Saccharomyces cerevisiae S288C: one gene and its partners. The protein of the gene in region 1 interacts with the protein of each later gene in a pairwise test. Each region holds a gene or a part of one and is shown on either strand. Other genes may lie near its edges. The genes, in order: COS4, SMF3, ECM3 and FKS3.

Region 1 (3,757 bases):
CCCGCCGAATAAGAAAACAGACCCATTCACCCACGACGTATCAAGTTACTTCCTTGGTGCAATGTCCCACTATAAAAAAATTCCTTGACGCTAGATCGTTGGACTAAAATCTGCGTCCCAATCGCCTAAACAGGAAATATTGCCTATTTTCGTACAAGGTTACTTCCTAGATGCTATATGTCCCTACGGCCTTGTCTAACACCATCCAGCATGCAATACAGTGACATATATATACCCACACACCCACACACACCACACCCACACACCCACACCCACACACCACACCCACACCACACCCACACACCACACCCACACCACACCACACCCACACCACACCCACCACACCCACACCCACACACCACACCCACACCCTAATACTACCTCAACCCTACCCTAATCCAACCCTTCCATCCTGTCTCTCAACTTACCCTCCATTACCCTGCCTCCCCACTCGTTACCCTGCCTCCCCACCACCAACCCACAAATCCACCATAACAGTTACCCTCCAATTACCCATATCCAACCTCACTGCCACTTACCCTGCCATTACCCTACCATCCACCATGTCCTACTCACTGTACTGTTGTTCTACCCTCCATATTGAAACGTTAACAAATGATCGTAAACAATGCACACATACTTACCCTGCCAATACCCTACCATGCCCCATCTGTCATACTCACCATCACTTGTATACTGATACGGCATACGCACACGGATGCTACAATAGTATATACTATCTCAACTTACCCTACTTTCACATTCCACTCCATGGCCCATCTCTCACTTCATGAGTACAAATGCACCCACATCATTATGCACGGCACTTGCCTCAGCGGTCTATACCCTGTGCCATTTACGCATAACTCCCACTATTATCCACATTTTAATATTTATATCTTATTCCGCGGCCCCAAATATTGTATAAATGCCCTTAATACATACGTTATACCTCTTTTTCACCGTATACTAACCACTCAATTTATATACACTTATGCCAATATTACAAAAAAATCACCACTAAAATCACCTAAACATAAAAATATTCTATCCTTCAACAATAATACATAAACACACTCAATTGCGTATCAATACCACCATGAGGTCATTAACTTAAATGTTCCTTAATACCGTCATACCACTATGCTCTATTCCATATATTGTAATATAACTGTACTCTATAGTCATACAGACGCTTTTACTTCACCCTATCTTCTCATACTATTGTCATAGAATCGCACACTGACGCATGATTAAAACGAATAATTTTTACTATAAGGCCTCCCATCCGTGCTCTATCCTTTTGTTTGAAACATTTATATACAGAATCTCAAAGCAAGCGGGAGAAGTAGTAATTACCCAGAGGTCATGCATGATCTTAGCACCACCGTACCTCTAAGTTTTGCTTTGAGCCTTTTTACAGTGACATCAAACATAAGGAGAAAAAATGGTATTGAAAGGTTATCAATATAGGGAAATAAATTGGTTCTATGAATCTTCATGTAAGATACTCGTAGGACAGACTCTTTCCTGTGTAAATATTTGTGACAGCTACGTCTATTTTCTATTAGATATTTACACATTTTTGTCACAGGCAATCTACGCTTAAAATATACGTTTCATTTTGGGTAACAACTGCTGTGCGAACAGTGACATTGCTGGTCGCACCTTAAATGTAAACCAAAGTTACGGCACACCGTGATGTACCCTCATACAAAGCTTTGTAAAAGTATTATTACGATTATCGAGTAACTTAGATAGAAAACCGGAAATGAAATGGACTCCCTTTTCGAATAGTAGAGTTTCTGTGCCTAAAATAGCCCAACATTGTTGCCCTTTTTCTATCACGAGGTTACTGAGCCATTGCATGAACGCGCGCGCCTCGGCGGCTTTTTTTTCTACTCTATAAAAGCGAAAAGCCAGAAGTTACTATCTCGAATAAAAAACCCCTCGAACTGCCATCTCATTACCGAAAATGAAAGAAAATGAACTTAAAAATGAGAAAAGTGTAGATGTATTATCTTTCAAACAGCTCGAATCTCAAAAGATTGTTCTACCTCAAGATCTTTTCAGAAGCAGCTTTACCTGGTTTTGTTATGAAATTTACAAGTCCTTAGCGTTTCGCATCTGGATGCTATTATGGCTACCACTTAGCGTCTGGTGGAAGCTTTCCAACAATTGGATTTACCCGCTTATGGTTTCACTTCTTGTCCTGTTTTGGGGACCAGTATTTGTTCTTGTTATTTTTAGACTTTCTCGTAAACGTTCCTTATCGAAACAACTCACTCAGTTTTGCAAAGAGATTACTAAAAGCACACCAAGTTCGGATCCTCATGATTGGGAAGTTGTTGCAGCAAATCTAAATTCGTACTTATATGAAAATAAGGCTTGGAATATTAGGTACTTTTTCTTCAATGCCATGGGCTGCCAAGAAGCGTTCAGAACAACCCTTCTCGAACCCTTCTCTTTGAAAAAAGACGAAGCTGCCAAGGTTAAGTCATTTAAGGATTCCGTCCCTTACATTGAAGAAGCATTGGGAGTTTATTTTAGAGAAGTTGAAAAACAATGGAAGTTGTTTAATTCTGAGAAATCATGGAGCCCTGTTGGCCTGGAAGATGCTAAACTTCCCAAGGAAGCTTACCGATTTAAGCTTACTTGGTTTTTAAAGAGGATTTCCAATATTTTTATGTTGATACCATTCCTTAATTTTTTGTGCTGCATATATGTGTCACGGGGAATGTGCCTTCTATTACGCACCTTGTATCTCGGGTGGATTCTTTTCATGTTGGTACAAGGTTTCCAAAATATAAGGGTTTTGATTATGAGCATGGAACACAAGATGCAGTTCTTGTCGACTATTATAAATGAGCAAGAAAGTGGTGCGAATGGATGGGACGAAATTGCAAGGAAAATGAATAGGTACTTGTTTGAGAAAAAAGTCTGGAAGAATGAAGAGTTTTTCTTTGACGGGATTGACTGTGAATGGTTTTTTAGCCACTTCTTCTACCGCGTTCTATCTGCGAAGAAATCTATGCGGGCTCTATCATTGAATGTGGAACTATGGCCATATATTAAAGAAGCGCAATTATCCTGCAGTGAGGAGTCCTTAGCGTAAAGATAAATACAACTTTTTCAATTTATATATTTTGTAGTTTGTCAGCTGCGAATAACCAAAACGAGACTACTTTTTACGATTACAACCATTCTCTTTTTCCCTATTTCTCACTGGTTGACAGAAATCAGTGTGCTATCATCCTACCATATGCGCAAAACTTATTGTCTTTCTCCTCCTAGAGATGCTGTATTCCATGCATATTCTGAACGATGGGTTGGTGTTTTTATCAAGCAAGGTTAATCACATGGCGTGGCTTGCTCCACGCATCAGTAGAAAACGCATACCGCAGCGGAATCCTTAAATAATAAGTGATTTTACTGTTCATCAACTACAATCGGACTCTTTCACAATTACCCTTCTTGTTTTCCACATTTACTGTTAAATGAAGGGATGTACAGAAGGCTTAGGAAAACCTGTGCTGAATACTGGATGGACACTGCATTCCCACAGTGAAGCTTTTATAGATACACTGCCAGTTATTTTCGAACTTTCATCAAGTTGCTGAGTTTTAGTATCCCTTTGCCTTAGCTATATGTTTGAATGAGCAAAATATTTGCAATGTCTCTAGCTTTCTTGAAATATTGGTTTATATTGAGGGCTTGGTAAGATTTCAAATTTCATTTTGAAGTGCTCAGGAGAAAA
Region 2 (4,158 bases), on another chromosome or scaffold:
TGTTAATGAGAGAGCGCTATCTTTGAACTTGGAGACGGGGAAGACTATTTCTAAGTTACTATCGTCAATCTATAGAGATTTCTCTTTACTAGATCCTATGGTTTGGTTTATTAATTTAAATTGCGATACAAAGCTTCTTGACGTAAATATCGAACCAGAGAAAAATGACGTGATGATCAAAAGTTTTGAAGTGATATTTAAGAAGATAGAGAATAAGTTAAAGTTGTTATTGGAGGAGAGAATTGGCATCGAAACAAATATGCTGGGAGATAAACATGTTCAGCCTTCTATCAACGAAAAAACTTCTCCCGCACTGGTGATACCTACACCCGACGCAGAGAATGAAATATCAAAGGGCTGTGGTGCTGTTAGTGGTAAAGACAAGACTGACATCCCACAAAAAAACTCAGATTTGATAGTACCAACTTTTTACGATGAAGCAAACTTAGAGAATACGACCATTGTCGCTGCTACTCCTTCACCTACAAAATTTAGCGAGGATAAAGCTCTTGACGAACAAACTCAGCTGACCATTTCAAGTTATAGAAGCTCGAGTTCCGGGTCTATGGCTTCCGAGGACAGTACTAATTGGCGACATAATTTCCAACAAGAACTAAGCGAAAATAGTGAAGTAGCAGGAGCTGGATCCTCAACATTACCCTCGTCATTAACTTATAACTATATAGAAACTATTCCAGAGAACGAGGATTTAGAACTTTCTAAGGACGCTTCTATTTCTAATCCTTTTATGATCACAAAAATAAGAAACGTCAACAAGAAACTGAGCGAAAACTTACTTGAGGCCAAACGTACTAGCTGTGGAGATGCCAATAAAAGGGGAATGCCCAACGAAAGACAGCTTTCAAATACAGAAAAAAAGGAACTAATAAAGCTTCAGCAAACCTACGGTAAAAGAAACAATACCGTGGACATGACCATTCCACGAAATTCGAAAAAAAAAGTAACTGATAATTATATAAAGAAAGCATCCTGCATGCACAAAACAAGGCCGAAACTCATGCATTTTTCCGAGTATACCAACAACTACGTCTATACCCTGAAGAATGAAAAAATTGTTAAGCATGACAGCGATAACTTTGCCAAAGAAACTCTGTGGTTACGATCGAGGGACGATGCCACAAGCCCTTCTTCCAGTCTTTTGCAAGCCTTGCGAGCGCATGTGAAGAAACCGGGACACATTGAAGCCACGACAAATGAATGGTGCCTCTTCACGCCAGACAGCCCCTGATGATCGGGTGCACTATCACCACTCAGCACAATAGATTACTTCATAATAGACCATTGTTTGTAACTCATGGTAACCGCACCCTGTTGCCCGCCCTGCCTCTCTTCCAGTTTCCGCACCTTGAAATTTCCGTTTTGGGTCAACTTAAAAATGCTCTAATATTGCATTGTTACGACATCCTGTTGTCATGCGACTAAAGGTATTTATACTGTATATATCTCATTCATCTGATTCTGTGAGGTTGCATAATTGAATATTTATTTCAAAGGAGCTAGAAGACAAAGATCACTCCACATAAATATACGGGGTTCCTTTATATATTAGTTCATTTTTTTTTTCAGTTGTCATACCCAAACTATTATTTCCTTCTGAACTCCTTTAAATATATCGTTCTTCCAAGCTAATTGATAACAGTAGTAGCATCACAAGAGAAAAAAAATGCGATCTTATATGCAGATTCTTCAAAAATTTGCCAAATTTATTGGGCCAGGGATATTAGTCAGTGTGGCTTATATGGACCCAGGAAATTATGCCACTAGTGTTTCCGGTGGTGCTCAATACAAATATACCTTATTATTCTCTATTTTTATATCCAACATTTTTGCCGTACTTTTGCAATGTCTCTGTGTGAAGCTGGGTACTATCACTGGCTATGATTTGGCTGAAAACTGTCGTCATAATTTGCCTAAAAAGCTAAACTATACCCTTTACCTTTTCGCTGAAGTGGCAATCATTGCTACTGATCTGGCCGAGGTTGTAGGCACTGCCATCGCTTTACAAATTCTTTTCAAAATACCACTAACTTGGGGTGTCTTATTAACGGTGCTAGATGTTTTGGTAATTTTAATGTTCTACACACCAAACGGCCAGTCCTTAAAAAAAGTTAGGGTTTTCGAATTTGGCGTTGGGATTTTGGTCATTGGAACTTGCATTTGCTTTGTTTTGGAGCTGTTTAAAGTTTCAATCCCAGACAAAGCTGAATTGTTTAAAGGGTTTTTGCCTTCAAATATCATTTTTAAGGAACAACAAGCTCTTTACATTTCATTGGGTATCTTAGGTGCCACTGTGATGCCTCATTCATTATACTTGGGCTCATCCATTGTTAAACCAAGATTGCACGATTACGATTTGAAGAAATACGGTAAGGTTAATGCCCGCCCAAGTTTAAGCGCTATAAAATATACGTTAAACTATGCGTACGCTGAACTAATCATTTCTTTGTTCTTAATTGCCACCTTTGTTAATTCCGCTATTTTAATTGTTGCAGGTGCTACTTTATCAGGCCAACCTGAGGCAGAGGATGCTGATTTGTTATCTATTTACAAATTACTGGTCCACTACATATCTCCTGCGGCAGGGTTAATCTTTGCATTGGCCATGTTATGTTCTGGTCAATCTGCCGGTATCATCTGTACACTTGCCGGGCAAATCGTTTCTGAGGGATTTTTACAGTGGTCTTTACCACCTTGGGCCACAAGATTGTGCACCAGATTGATTGCCATTGTACCATGTTTATTTGTTACTTTAACCATGGGGGAAAAGGGAATTTCAGATATTTTGAATTTTTCTCAAGTGGTCTTGTCCTTAATTTTACCAATCGTATCCGCTCCTTTAATTTATTTTACCGCAAATAGAAAGTTGATGGTTGTTCATGACGAAAATGGTGTGGTAAGAGCACCTGCCGATGTTAACGCCATTGCTGATGAAACCACTCCATTGAACTCCAAGCACAGTAAAATAGTTGATTTTACTAACAGTCGTTTGTTGACCTATACCTCTGTTTTCGTATGGGCTTTAATCGGGAGCTTGAATTGCTATTTGGTGATTTCCTATCTCTTAGGTGCCGACATCCATTTTTAATGGAACCTATTTATTGTCAAGTGTGTCGTTTTCTCTCGATTCTTGTTTTCTCTCATTTCTTTATTCTGCATAATACAACCCAAGTATATACTTACGTATGCATAGCCTTCAGAACAAATGCATACTTTATCTAATATCAAAATATAAACATACATTAGTCAAAAAAGACTTGATGAGCTTTCATGAAACTAAAACAAAGATAATTCATTATTTATCTTTGATTCCACTACCGCTGACACTATTTATTTCTTGTGTTTCCGTTTACGACCTGGTTGCGCCCTTACCACAGGTATGCTACCATTATAGTTTGTTTGTAATACTGGAAAGGCCCTTACATTGTTTATAGGAACCTTGGAAACCTTCTTTGCTAAGATAACCTCCTTTAGTATTCTTTTCACTTTGAAGTATAATTCTCGTTCCTCCGTAGTAGGCTTCAAAACTTTATTTAAAATCCTCTCCTTTCTAAGTCTTTTAAGTTTTAAGAGAGAGTCTGAAACCAACTTATCTGGTGTGCCATTTCGAAAGTTCTCAATTTCGTCATCTCCAATGTAATTAGATGGTGTCCAATTATATAAGTTTTGAAGCTTGATTATGAATTGTTCCTTATTCTCAGTACTCTCTGAATTTGCAGAAGCGATAGTCGCATCATTATCATTATCACCACCATCGTCCTGAACGCCATTGCTTTTGCCGTCAACATTTTTGTTGTTTTCATCGTTCTGCTTCCTGTTTATGCCTTCTTCATTCGTGTTCAGTAATTCTTCTTGTTTTACTTTCTTTTCATTTTTTTCATACAAGTCCATATAACCAATTCTTTCAAGCCAAATAAGACCCCTTGTTGTCGAATCCACAACGGTGCCGTTTTCATTAAAGGAAGGTGCCCAAGAATTATAATTACCATATTTTAGCCAGACGGTTGTAGGTAAAGCATACCAATTTGGATGCAAAAATCTAGTCATCATTTCAGTTGGTGGTAACGTAGGGTCCGGAATATTACTAGTATTAGCGCCTACAAATCCTAATCTTGGAGCTTCGTTTTCTATATCAGTTTG
Region 3 (4,599 bases), on another chromosome or scaffold:
GAACTTGTTGTTTGTTTTGGGAAGTATTCATGAATCCATTGAAATTCTAGGATTGACACATTTTGTTAGTGATTTGGAGAGAACCGTTAAAGATGTTCACAGTGACATTGGTAGTTGTTTGATTGCCAAAGCAGGTGGATTATTAGTGTGCTTAATTAGGTGTAAGGAACGACATAATCCCATCTTGGGTAATCTAACGACTTTAATTGTTTCAGAGTTGTTAAATAAGCATGGTGTCATTTTAGATTTATGCACATTTGTGAGAACTAAAGGTATAAGCCCAAAAAATTCTAGTATGATAATGGAAGTTTGGGCGAAAAATAGAGCATCGATAATGCAAGCCTGGTTTGATCAGAAAATTCAAATAGAAGCACAATTTGGCATAAACTATGGTGAAAATATTTCCATTTATTTATTATCAGATTATGAAAAGGACAATATTTAACACATCCAAGTACAGTAAATTTGTCATGACTATTGGATGCTACTGAGTTGTGGAAAGACTCTAATTAATCTATATTAGAGATTAAATAATTATTTATAATTTTTGATTATAAACATGAAATAATCATGTATGTTTTATATGTAAATACGCTATACCACTTAAAAATTAATGAAAAGGATATTTATGATTCACAAATAATTAAAAGATCACCTTTTTTCGTTCCATCAGAAAATCTTATGTTCGAAAAAAGAAGAAAAAGATTAGTAACACTGAGAAGCTGCGACTAAATGTTATTTTTTTGAATAACAATCAAAAGTGAAATTGTATAAACAGAAGAAAAAGCATGAAGTTTTGTTTTCATTATTATTTTTATACTATGAAACTCTATAAAATCTGAAATAAGTGAATTCTACGTTGATAAAAAAAGACCAACAAACAACTATAAAATTACACCCTGATTCAGTTGTACGATGAAATGAAATTATGAGAATGAGAATGGGAATGCATGAATAGATCTTGTTTCTTCCTTAACGAACTTTATAATTTCATTTGAACTTTGATGAAATAAGACACCAAAAATGGTAAACTAACGACCATCAAAGGATATTGAAGCATCAAAAAGAAAGAGGTACATTCCATTTGAACGGGTTCAGTTTCGTCCTCAGGGGTATAACTTGCAGTGAAGTAGATTAAGGTGGTCATTGTTGGTAAGTTCCAAGTAATGGCGGTAACAAACAATAACATCTTGTCGTTTTCCCAATTTAGCCATCCCGCTTTCACTAGACGGTCACACCACAAGACACCAAAGATCGGCATGATACATTGTCTGAGAAAGACTAATACCACTGCGGATTTCCAGAAACCAGGGTATAATTTTCCAATTTTCAATCTACCAAGAGTAGCGCCTAAAAGAATCAAACCGAAGGGAACTGAAGCGGCTCCAACATAAGATGTAAAATCCATAATGAAAGTTAGAGCAGGTGCATTATCTGGGGCTTGTTTGATTTTTGGTGTATTACTGGTCGTAACGAAAAGGGCTTTTACCCAGGGAATAAAAGCGATAATCAAAGCCAGGATAACAGCCATGGAACAAGGCCTTAGACAATTTTTTAGAAAAAAGACGAAAAATTTTGTTAAGGGAAATTTCTGTAGCCATTTTGGTAAAGAGGAACCGGAAGTCTCAATATCTTTCTTACTAACAGTGGCATCTGAGGTGATTATTCTTGTTAGGTTGGAAGTTTTGACTCTTTGTAAAGTGGAGGTTCTAGTCAAATTTGGAGAAATAGTACCGTCTGCCTGCAAAACAGAGGGTGCTCCTTGGGAGCTGATAGAACTTTTCCTTCTTCTACCGTATTGATCAACATTGGAGTATTCACGAATTAAATCCGACATGCCTTCCGCGGGTAGTTCACGCATATCGATGGAACGTAAGGAGCCAGTGATGGAATTCCTGCGGTTATTATGAACATGTGATGTTCTTGACTCGGTAGTGTATGCTATTGGTTGACTTCTAGTTCTGTAAGTAGGATCGTTAAGCTCGCTTACAGATTGGGCATCCACATGGTTTGTGCGTAGTGAGTGTGTAATGCTATCGATAGAGACCACCGCGGATGAGTTCGAGCTCCTGTCATCTATTGCTGGAGGGGCAGTATGTGTAGGCTTGGGGACAGAGAGTTCAGTTTTTTCTTTTTTATTTTTCTCAGAAATGTAGCTTGCTTGTGAACTGTTAGGAACGGTAGACTCGTTGGGCTCTTTCAGGATATCTTGGTTGGATGAAGAAGAAGAATTGCCTTCAATTGGTTGTGTTGGCTGTTGGGCAGAATCATCATTGGTCAACGTATTTTCTTCATCGTCATCACCTTTGTAATGGAAATCGTTTTCAATTAGTCTGAAACCACCTAAATTGAAAACACATATCAAAAACATGGCCAGAAAGATGATAACGTTGGCAACACCTTTCTCACCTTCTGCTTCTGTAAATATAAACCCTTGGTCCATGGATTGCAAATAGGCGATGGGTAGATCGCTGATATTGGGAAACATACCTCCTGCAAGTATACCACCACGCCATCTCTTAGGAACAGGCAGCACACTGCGAACAATAAAGGCAAACCCCAAGCCAGTTGCGAACAGTATAACAGACGTCAGACAAATAATGCCGACATCTTTGATATCGTTATCTTCTATATTTGCTACGATTTTATTGAATGATAAACAAGGAAGCAGAATTGTTAAAACGATATCAGAGATGGACCTTGTGGCCTGAACGGTTAAGATGTTCATCTTGCATAAACCGAAGCCTACACCAATAATCAGATAGATTTTGATGATTGGTCTGACAGAGGCCCAGATGGCTTGTCCCAGTGTGATGTGTGTCATTGTCTACTTGTCTTGAACTTACTCTTTGTCTTCTATTGTTTTGTTTGTGTTGGTTCTATAATGCTAAACTTAACTATCTATGCCTTTTTATCTTCCTCTCGGTAATGGTCAACAATACGCAGTTTCTGTACAAATGTAAAGTCTGAAAAACCTAATATAAAGAAAAATTGCGAGGCTTCTGAGAAGAAATTCCGGATGCCCTATGATGAAAGTCTATATTAAAAACAATGAAAGGCCTATTATATAACAAAAATTACAAGCATATAATAACGGTGCAAGAGTAACAGATGGTAGCGTACGAAGGAGGGATGCGTCAAACATATATTCAGGCCCTCTAAGTATATAGCCTCATCCCCCGAGGCTGCAAAGAGATGCAGTGAAAGGAAGCTCAACTATCACCGATTGTGAAATAGAGAGCAAAACTCGAGCACTTTTAATCCCAGATATTGTCGGGCGGATCCGAGGTGAAAAAACACCTCAACAACGTGGGGGCGTGGGGCGTGGGATATCGAAAGGGGCAAAAAGACGGCAGATAAGCATGGGCCGCGGTCGTGCTGCGTGATCAGCTACATGACGTGACATGCTTTGTGTTGGTGTGTGTGCGTGTATTATATATACGGTGGCATATATACAGTTTAGTCTATATGAATTTTAGACTATGCGAGCGTGGCGGAGTTGGCTTTTTTGATGTCGAAGGTGGGGTTGCTACCGTCACCGTAGTCCTTGATGCCGCCGTCGTCTTGGTGGTCAGCCTTCTTCAAGGCATCTGTGAATTCAGTAAGATCCCATGCGGATCCCTGGGTGACGTCGTCTGGCATGTCGGCGTTGTCCGTCTCAAATGACTTGTTTTCGGCGCTCATCTTAAGAATGATTTCTCTACCAGTAGGTTTCCTCTTACTAGATAACTTCTTTTCAGCGTTAATCTTTGCGATGACGTGGTCCTTCTTCCATTGGGCGAAGTTGGCAATTGTTATTGGTGTTAGCTTGGATTTGTCTAGTTTCCCTCTTTCTGTTTCGATAAACTCCTCCAGCGTAATTTTTGGCTGTTTCTCGAGCGACTCCCTCTCGAGCCTCTTTTGCTCGTTGGTTTTCAGCACAAAGCCCTCTGGTAGGGAGTGTCTGTACATACATTTGTCACCTCCGTTAGGACAAATCCAAAACCAACCGTATTTACCGTTTTCCACGGCCTCGATGAAGTATTTGCATACTTTGTCGGTGGTGGTCTTTGGGTTACCGTGCTTCGACAGGATAACTTTTCTCAGCTTTTCTTCATCCCAGTTGTCCATTGTGTCATTTTCCTTTTCACTTCTTGTATCTTGGTATAAATCTTTCTTTTCCATTCTTCTACCGACGTTCAAGTCATGTGAGAACTTACATTTGGCACCTTTGTTACAATTCCCCAGTTTGAACAGAGCACAAACCATGGACTTGGGATCTACACCCGCACGAACCCTTTGGTCTGCTACAGGGTTGAATAGTGCTCTTCGTTCAGCTTCTTCGGCTTCTCTGCGCTTTTTTTCTTCGAGTTTCTTTAACCTCATCTCTTCTTTCTTGGGGTCGGATTGTGATTGCACTTGTTTGATGTATTTTTGGACTTTGGTAGAACGGTTCTTGTTCTTCATACCGAACGTCTTGTCGACATTATCCTTCTTCTTACCAGCCGCTTGGGCCTGTTTTCCCTTTTTTGGTGGCATCTTCGAAATATAACTTTCCTGCGATTTTATATGTGTAAAGCCCAGAGGTTTACTAATAGAGTGGCTTCCCTTGCTTTCTAG
Region 4 (8,153 bases), on another chromosome or scaffold:
GATTTAAACAACATTGTTGAGATTTAGCTGTGTTTGTTGTTTTTGTTTTATCAGACTTTAAAAATAAAAACTGATTTTGAAATAGCTTAATAAAACGACACAACTATTTATGGATATCTAATTTGTTCGAGGAAAACAACCACGACTTTTCCTCTTAAATAAAAAAATCCGTGTCAACAGTAGTAGAGGGAAAAGTTTTTCAAACCTCGAGGATTATCGGGTATTTTACTAATAAACCGCGCAGGCTGTATGAGGAATACCAAAAGTAGAAATTTCTCATTATTTTCCCGACTTTTCTTTTTCCCATCTCCACGTTTGCGGCACGAAAACTCAGTGTAAAATAAGAAGCAAACAAAACGCGAGCCGCGAAAATATATCGAACTAAAAGTACGCAAAAGAATAGCCAGGGCTGGCCTGTGAATTCATAAAAAGTCTGAGCCGGCTATGATAGGCACCAGCTCGCTTTATCAGCTACTCAAAATAACTTTTTTTTTTTATCCCTATGCGACAGTCCTAAAGGTAGGTAAAGTTGGTGTTGTAGTCAGGATTGTCGATGGAGCATTTGGACCAGTATCGTTGTTGTTTTGGTTGTTAGGTTGGAAGATTCCTTCGAAAAGGGTGCCTTCCAGCAATTCTTGCGGACTAGATACGAAATCACCAGCAAAGAATGGCGCGATGAGCATAAAAAGGAGCACACCTAGCATCACAAAATATAGAGAGAAATATTTTGAAACTATCCTACTTCTTAATGCTCTCTGCTTTCGAGTCAAAATTCTTTTATGCGCGATAATACTTCTTGGATTCATCCAAAATAGCACCATTGTATGCCAGTAATCGATAAATGGTAACAATATTATGGGCGTTTGTATAAATAAGAGGAAGTGACCAAGAAAGAAATCTGCTGCAAAATAACTAGATTCCATAATCTTCACGAAGTATTCTCGTATGGGCTGTAAAATGATAGACCAGCCCATGCCCGTATTGTACCATTTACCATTCCACCATGCCAAATGTGCCTTATTGTTTTTATACTCCCTTGTCAAGAATATCGTCGTAAAGACCTTGAAAAGAATCAGATGCATATTGATGCACGTAATAAGCAGTATCAATGTACGGGTAAAGTTCCAACCTTGTAAGAACCACATCAGTTCGAAATCTAAAAGATAGACCAAAACCGAGAAAGTGTGTGCAATAAACGCAATCACGGCACCTGCGTCTTTACAACAATATGACAATCCAGGAACCACAAAAAGTGAAACCCAAAATAATAGAAAAAGCACTATTGAGTTAAGAAAGATTGGCAAAAAAGTTACGAGCAACAAACGGAAAACAGCGCTAGTTGGTGTTGAGTCAGAGACCCCTGTTTGTGCATTAATGAAAGAAAAAGCGGTGAAGTTGAAGAGGAACACACAGAAAGGTAGAAATAGTTCTGCAAAGAAGACGTTCCAAAACCTCGCTTTCTTTGAATCATGGCCTGAATCTTCGGAAATATCATCTACAGTTTTACTTTTATAGCCCGTAAATCTTGATCGAGAACTCTTGACAAAGTTTGCCCACGATTCTTTTTGATATTTCGTGTTACCTGAGAATAACCAGTGGATAAAGGTTTTATAATCAATGAAGAAATCCATGAATGCGAACTGATGTGGATTGAAAATAAAAGGTGCGAAGCACATCGAAATGACTGTAATCCAAAACCATAATAAGGCGGGTTGCCACATGGAAATAATCGCGAATAATAACATGAAGAACACTTGGAAACCAGAATATATCGATATATTAACAAATCTGGAATAGAGCGTAAAAAAATCGAGGCGTGTTATTGCAAACCCACGACCTGTAGATATGTACTTTGCTCCCCCAAAGGTCAAGTCCATCAATAGAGAATTCGAATAAACTTGGCAGACGAATACTTCAAATAATGGGGCCATTGAAAGAAGATGATGTAGGAACCTTGAAGCTGCTCTCCAAATACCCTTTTCCAAAACTTCTTGAATCAGCAAAGGGGCAAAGGCAATAAAGAAAACAATGAAGATTGATAGTACGAATATCGATACCCAATGCAATGCAGGCTGAATATTATAACAACCAACGGGTGTCTCAAGATTTGTAATTGGTGCATCCTTGTCGTAAAAGCAGGCTATAATTTCATGGTTCAACGCACCCAAGTTTAAAAGCAGAACGAAGAACAGTTGAACCGAAAAGGAAATAAAAAGATTATTCAGATGGAAACCAGGATGTGCATAAAAAAACGATAAAAATCTATCCATGGGAAGTTGTGTCCCCAAATAATAGTACTCCCTTGATAGTAGCTGTTCCCCCATACCTGCACCTATTTTAGTAGTGAAATTCAGGATGGACCCAAATCCCAAATCTCTACCCTTACCACATTGGTAGTAATCACTATGTTTTATCTTTCCACCACGGCAGATTGCGTTCATTCCAGCATATATATCCTCGTTTAAATGCAATCCTCTTTGTGCCTTAGACAGGCCACCACGAGTGGTCATAAAAATGCCATTGAGAAAATCGGGATGCCCATAGTGCAATTTACCACCAATTTCAGCCAACGTTCTAGCAAATAAGGTTCCAAAAGTCTGTTCTTTACCTGCAGCAATATCACCTAACACTCCAATATTTTCTGAAAAAATATACTCTCTTGAACCAACAATAGCGATGGGCGGTGGTTCTTCTTCATATTCAATGCCAGGAATGTATGGGATTGTGGGATTAAGCTCAAGCTCTTCGAACTCACTTAAAACAGACCGTATCTTTAGGCATTCCTCCAAATAATTATCTTGGTTTGCATCAATCACCTGAATATACTCACCACGATAAAATATAATAGAATGGTTCTGATTATCCGATTTTCCATCGCCAAGTATTGGATTGCCCGACAGGCGAATTTTGAATATTGGCTTCCTTAATCCACTTTCTTCGTCAAACTCAGCATAGCCATTAGTCAGGCACGAATAGTACGTTTTCTCAGATTCATTTTGCTCTAATTCTTCCAAAAGGTAAGATATAAACATATTTGGATAGGCTCTTAAAAGTAGTTCTGTTGCCTCCACTTCATCCTTATTAAATTTTGCATATCTCTGCATAGCAACAACCATCCTAAATTTCCTGCTAGCCATATTTTCTAAGTCATTCTCCAATGCTTCATTATTGCCACGATACAAGCTAACTAAAGAGGGGTTTTCAATTCGATACAGTAGCTTAATAGCTTTGGAATAGTTCATAAACCCTGAAAGGGTTCGGTACAAAGTCTGCGTCCGCAATGATGCCCAGATTCTTGTTCTCAGGGTGTACGATGGTTCTGATGAGTTGAAGCCAAAGTAAGAAAATGGCAAATCATTAATTTTCTCCTTAATAAGATCGTCTTCTGTGGGCAACTTCCGGGACTCAGTATGGTCAGAAAGCGGGCTAGACCTTGGATCGTACAGAGCATCCGGAATTTCCAATCTATCTTCATCATGACTGCTCTCTGCCTCTTTCAAAAAGCTCTTTTCCATGCTTAGTAGTTTGGTATCCTTAACAAAACATTCCCATTCTGTAGGGTGTAGATGCTTCAAATACTCAAGCACCGTGATTTTACTTTTAGGAGATTCTTCCCTGATAATTTCCTTCAAGCCCAACAGAATCTTTTCTGAATAATGGGGTACCAAAACGGTAAAAGTTGGCATACAATCCACTGGAACAGGTTCTGAAATGGGGGTCGCCAGGGATTGGGCAAAAAAGGATATCCTTCTTTTTGCCTCTGAATTTGATGGAAAAAATTCCATTGACTTGAACGTTGAATCATCTTGTGCAACGAAAAATGTAGGCGATTTCAGGGTTCTTGTGTCTCCCATTAAGGAGTCAACTTGCTGAAACAAGAGTCTTTGTAAATGTTCAATGGAGAGAAGATGTTCCCTATACATTGATATAACAATGGCATTCCAAACCTGCGATATCAGTATTTTTGCTTTAAATTTTACATCCATCTCTGAAGTAGCAAGGATTTTGGAATATATCCTTTTTGGCAATCGAGAGTATACATTCTTCCATGGCGTGAGAATTGAAGTACCAAGAGAAAATGACAGTACAATGGAAAAAATACAGTTGCAAATAATGTACCAAAGGTAAGTGTCGAGAAAAAACAGGCCCAAGTCAGAAAGCAGCATGAGAACTAATGTAATTTTGGCTTGCCATTTACATAGAATAGGACCCAACAAATATTCACCTTGACATCTGGACAAATCCATAATAGAGAGGACCCTGATGGGGTCCCTGAGGGACAAGGTCAAAAAAAAATAGGACTCAATATATTTCGCCAAATACACAAATACCCATAACCCATAAGAAAACCATTTGCTGCGTCCTGTCAGCTTAGGAAATGAAGCGGTAAAGGTTTGCGATGAGATGTACCTCCGATGTTTTTTGTCTTTATTCAAATATGGACGAAATAAGCCGCCCAAAGGTCTGACAGCAAAAAAAAAAGTGGTTAAAAATGCAATGATTAGTTGGACGATGGACACGATATACGCAGATTTTGAATGAACATCCCATTCGAAAAACCCCAGAACATACACGGAAGGTCCCAAATTGATTGCAAGACAAAAAAGTAAGCCAATCATTCTACTCGATAAATGCTGAGCGCCTGGCCATTCTCGAGGTACAAATCCCCACTCGAACACGGTGGCTAAAATTTGAACTAAACATGCAATTGTGCCTCCAAAGGCAATCACTGATAGTCTAACTTGGGGTGTAGGCTGGTTATTCAATAACTGTATATAATTCTTGGTGTACAAAGTGGGGGAATTAAATGTGGTGAAGAACCAAAACGGTGCAAAATGGATAATCCAGAATCTATTGAAATTGGTAAAACAATGCTTCCAACTTCTGGTTTCTCTATATGTCTTATAAAATACTTTAGACCATGCAACGTCTTTAAAGTAAAGATATCTCTCCTCCAATGGCTTGTCAACTAATCGTTCTCCATTGTTTAAAATAATACGTTCAAATCCTTCCGGGTACCAAAATAATTGATTGATGTCGTCGTAACCAATAATATTCTTGTGGTCTTTTTCTCTTCGTTTCCAGTTCCCCTTTGCGTCTTTTTTGTATACTTGGCCCCTTAGGAATTCGTATAAGGGAGTAATAACGTCATTTAAGTATGAATACTCAGGTGATTTCACCGTTTTTTCGCTACTTGACGTACTAATATCATAATCAAGTGCACATTTGAAAATAAAGCAAAGGCATTCTGGGGCGAATCTGACTTGATTGGCTTCACCCCAGCAAAGCAAATAAAGGGCCAGCTGTCTTATCATATTTTCGGGCGTCAATTTTTTCATTTTCAATTTCCATTTGTAGTCTGCACTTTTCAAGTTTGTCTGATCTTCCAATTGTTCTTGAGTCAGTGTGATCTTTGGATGGTTATTGATGAACTCTTGCTCCTTCTCATTCCATTGCTTAATTTGTTCCTTTATCGATACGCCTCTTTTCTTCGCCATTTTTACGTTTCTTTGGCGTGCCTTTCCATGTAGTCGCATGTTTTGAAACCCGATCTCTTCATCTAAATCGAGCTGAGCGGCAAAATACCATTTTCTATAATTTGCGTGTTCGCCTCCAATATATGAAACATGTAGCGATACTAAAGCATTTTGAGCACCTGTACGACTTGCCCTGGAGTCCAGCTGTCCCATTAAATGTTGATACATATTTTCCATAGAAGATTTCTGGAAGCCAAACTTATCCATGAGCTCCACAAAAATTTCTCTAATTTCCTGCATTGTTATTGGGACTTCATCGTCTTGGCACCAAGCAGGATACTCAACGTCAGTTAGCGAAAACTTGGGACTCATAAAATCCATATTCAACTCCTTAACTTTCCTTCTCAGTATGTTTTTCTTTTCCCAATATGCAGTTCCACAGCCCTTAATGATTAAGTTGTATAGTGGCAAATCCTAGAAGGCATAATTACTTTTGAAGGTTCTCGCCAAATAGCCGCTGACCATGTAAAACTCTTACCCGCATAATTTAACCATCATTGCCGCACTAGGCAAGATGGTCCGATCTTGATGGGCGAGAATGATTAGTTCAGAGACGTGCAACAGCCATATACGAAAGCTGTCTCGGCCTTCACTTATGCTGATACCAGGCACGGTAATAATTAAGAAAGAATGCCTCCCTCTTTCTTTTTCTCAGGCAAGACATCTAGATTTTCTTTTTATCTAAGCCCTCAATGACAAAAATATTTGTTCCTTACATATCCCCAGAGATCTTCGGTCTAGATTTCGCGAAAGACCGTTTGCAGTAATTTACCTTTTTCGGAAAAGTCCTCGAAGATTTCGGACGAAGTAAAACCTGAAGAGAAAAATGCCAAGACTTTTAATTGCGCGAAACAGCGGACAAAAAATTCGCGTTGAAACGTTTGAATATGGTAACAAACGTCGCACGCGTTTGAAAGTTATTCGTGTTTTCATGTGTACAGTAACTTCTCCATCGAGAGCCGTATCCATAAGCCTTCTTTTCCACGTTTGTTTCAAAACTGTAGTATTTATAATGGAGGGAAAGATGTCTGCGTGAAGTTTGTCTTACAGTGTATCTTTGAAGCGTGCATCATATTTTTCCCATTTTAAATTCATCTATTATATAGGCCCAAATAAAAGAGTTAAATACTATACTTTTGCAATATTGAGCTGAACATCCAACTGTCACGTCTCTCCTTTACTATTACTGTTCTTTTTTTCAAATTGTCAAAAGATAGTATTAACGCAAAAAAAGTCTTCATTCCATTATGCGTTTTTCAAATTTCCTAACTGTATCTGCATTATTAACCGGAGCTCTAGGAGCTCCTGCTGTTCGCCATAAACATGAAAAGCGTGACGTTGTTACTGCCACAGTCCATGCGCAGGTTACTGTTGTCGTTTCCGGTAACAGCGGCGAAACTATTGTTCCAGTGAACGAGAATGCTGTTGTAGCTACTACCAGCAGTACTGCAGTTGCTTCTCAAGCAACTACATCCACTTTAGAACCAACAACTTCCGCTAATGTCGTCACTTCTCAACAACAAACCAGCACTCTTCAATCTTCCGAGGCAGCATCTACGGTTGGTTCTTCGACTTCATCCTCACCCTCATCCTCATCCTCAACTTCATCTTCAGCTTCATCCTCCGCTTCATCTAGTATCTCAGCCTCCGGTGCTAAGGGTATTACTTACAGTCCTTACAATGATGATGGGTCCTGTAAATCTACTGCTCAAGTCGCCTCAGATTTAGAACAGTTGACTGGTTTTGACAACATCAGATTATATGGCGTTGACTGTAGTCAGGTTGAGAATGTCTTGCAAGCTAAAACTTCAAGCCAGAAATTATTCTTAGGCATATATTACGTTGACAAAATTCAAGACGCCGTTGATACTATTAAATCTGCAGTTGAGTCTTATGGCTCCTGGGATGATATTACCACTGTTTCTGTCGGTAACGAACTGGTCAATGGCGGTTCTGCCACTACGACGCAAGTCGGTGAATACGTTTCCACGGCCAAGTCAGCTTTAACCTCTGCTGGTTATACAGGCTCAGTCGTTTCCGTTGATACCTTCATTGCTGTTATAAATAACCCTGACCTGTGTAATTATTCTGACTATATGGCTGTCAACGCCCATGCATACTTCGATGAAAATACTGCGGCCCAAGATGCAGGACCATGGGTACTAGAACAAATCGAAAGGGTTTACACTGCTTGTGGTGGGAAAAAGGACGTCGTTATTACCGAAACTGGTTGGCCATCTAAGGGTGATACTTACGGCGAAGCTGTCCCATCTAAAGCAAACCAAGAAGCCGCCATTTCTTCTATCAAAAGCTCCTGCGGCTCTTCAGCTTACTTATTTACCGCCTTCAATGATCTATGGAAAGATGATGGGCAATACGGTGTTGAAAAATACTGGGGTATTCTATCAAGTGATTAAACCACTGAAACTTCATTTACTTTATGATCATTCTTTTTCCCTTTTTCTTAAAAAGCAGCCAAATATGGGGGAAATAAGCCCTTTCCCATATTTGCTCTCCTATTCTTATCACGTTATTGTTTACTTATGTGTTTTGTGTAAAGTATATATTCTATACTCATTTGTGAAAGATTTTTCAATTTGTCTTCCTTTTAGCTAC

Evidence for each region.
Region 2: the proteins of COS4 (region 1) and SMF3 interact in a protein complementation assay, tested with the Saccharomyces cerevisiae proteins (one large-scale study listed by BioGRID).
Region 3: the proteins of COS4 (region 1) and ECM3 interact in a protein complementation assay, tested with the Saccharomyces cerevisiae proteins (one large-scale study listed by BioGRID).
Region 4: the proteins of COS4 (region 1) and FKS3 interact in a protein complementation assay, tested with the Saccharomyces cerevisiae proteins (one large-scale study listed by BioGRID).

What each region holds. Positions count from the first base shown.
Region 1 is NC_001138.5:4,451-8,207, forward strand, and holds COS4 (Cos4p), read left to right. Parts: upstream 1-1,975; coding exon 1,976-3,115; downstream 3,116-3,757.
Region 2 is NC_001144.5:209,460-213,617, reverse strand, and holds SMF3 (putative divalent metal ion transporter SMF3), read left to right. Parts: upstream 1-1,684; coding exon 1,685-3,106; downstream 3,107-4,158. Other genes in the region: mismatch repair protein MLH2, read left to right, coding at 1-1,249; RSC58 (Rsc58p), read right to left, coding at 3,349-4,158. UniProt on the Saccharomyces cerevisiae protein: Has a role in controlling the cellular iron ion levels. Mobilizes vacuolar stores of iron in conditions of low iron levels.
Region 3 is NC_001147.6:493,352-497,950, reverse strand, and holds ECM3 (putative ATPase ECM3), read right to left. Parts: upstream 2,825-4,599; coding exon 983-2,824; downstream 1-982. Other genes in the region: CMR2 (Cmr2p), read left to right, coding at 1-445; translation machinery-associated protein TMA46, read right to left, coding at 3,481-4,518. UniProt on the Saccharomyces cerevisiae protein: May be involved in cell wall organization and biogenesis.
Region 4 is NC_001145.3:878,864-887,016, reverse strand, and holds FKS3 (putative 1,3-beta-D-glucan synthase), read right to left. Parts: upstream 5,859-8,153; coding exon 501-5,858; downstream 1-500. Other genes in the region: 1,3-beta-glucanosyltransferase GAS1, read right to left, coding at 1-14; SCW10 (putative family 17 glucosidase), read left to right, coding at 6,785-7,954. UniProt on the Saccharomyces cerevisiae protein: Required for spore wall assembly.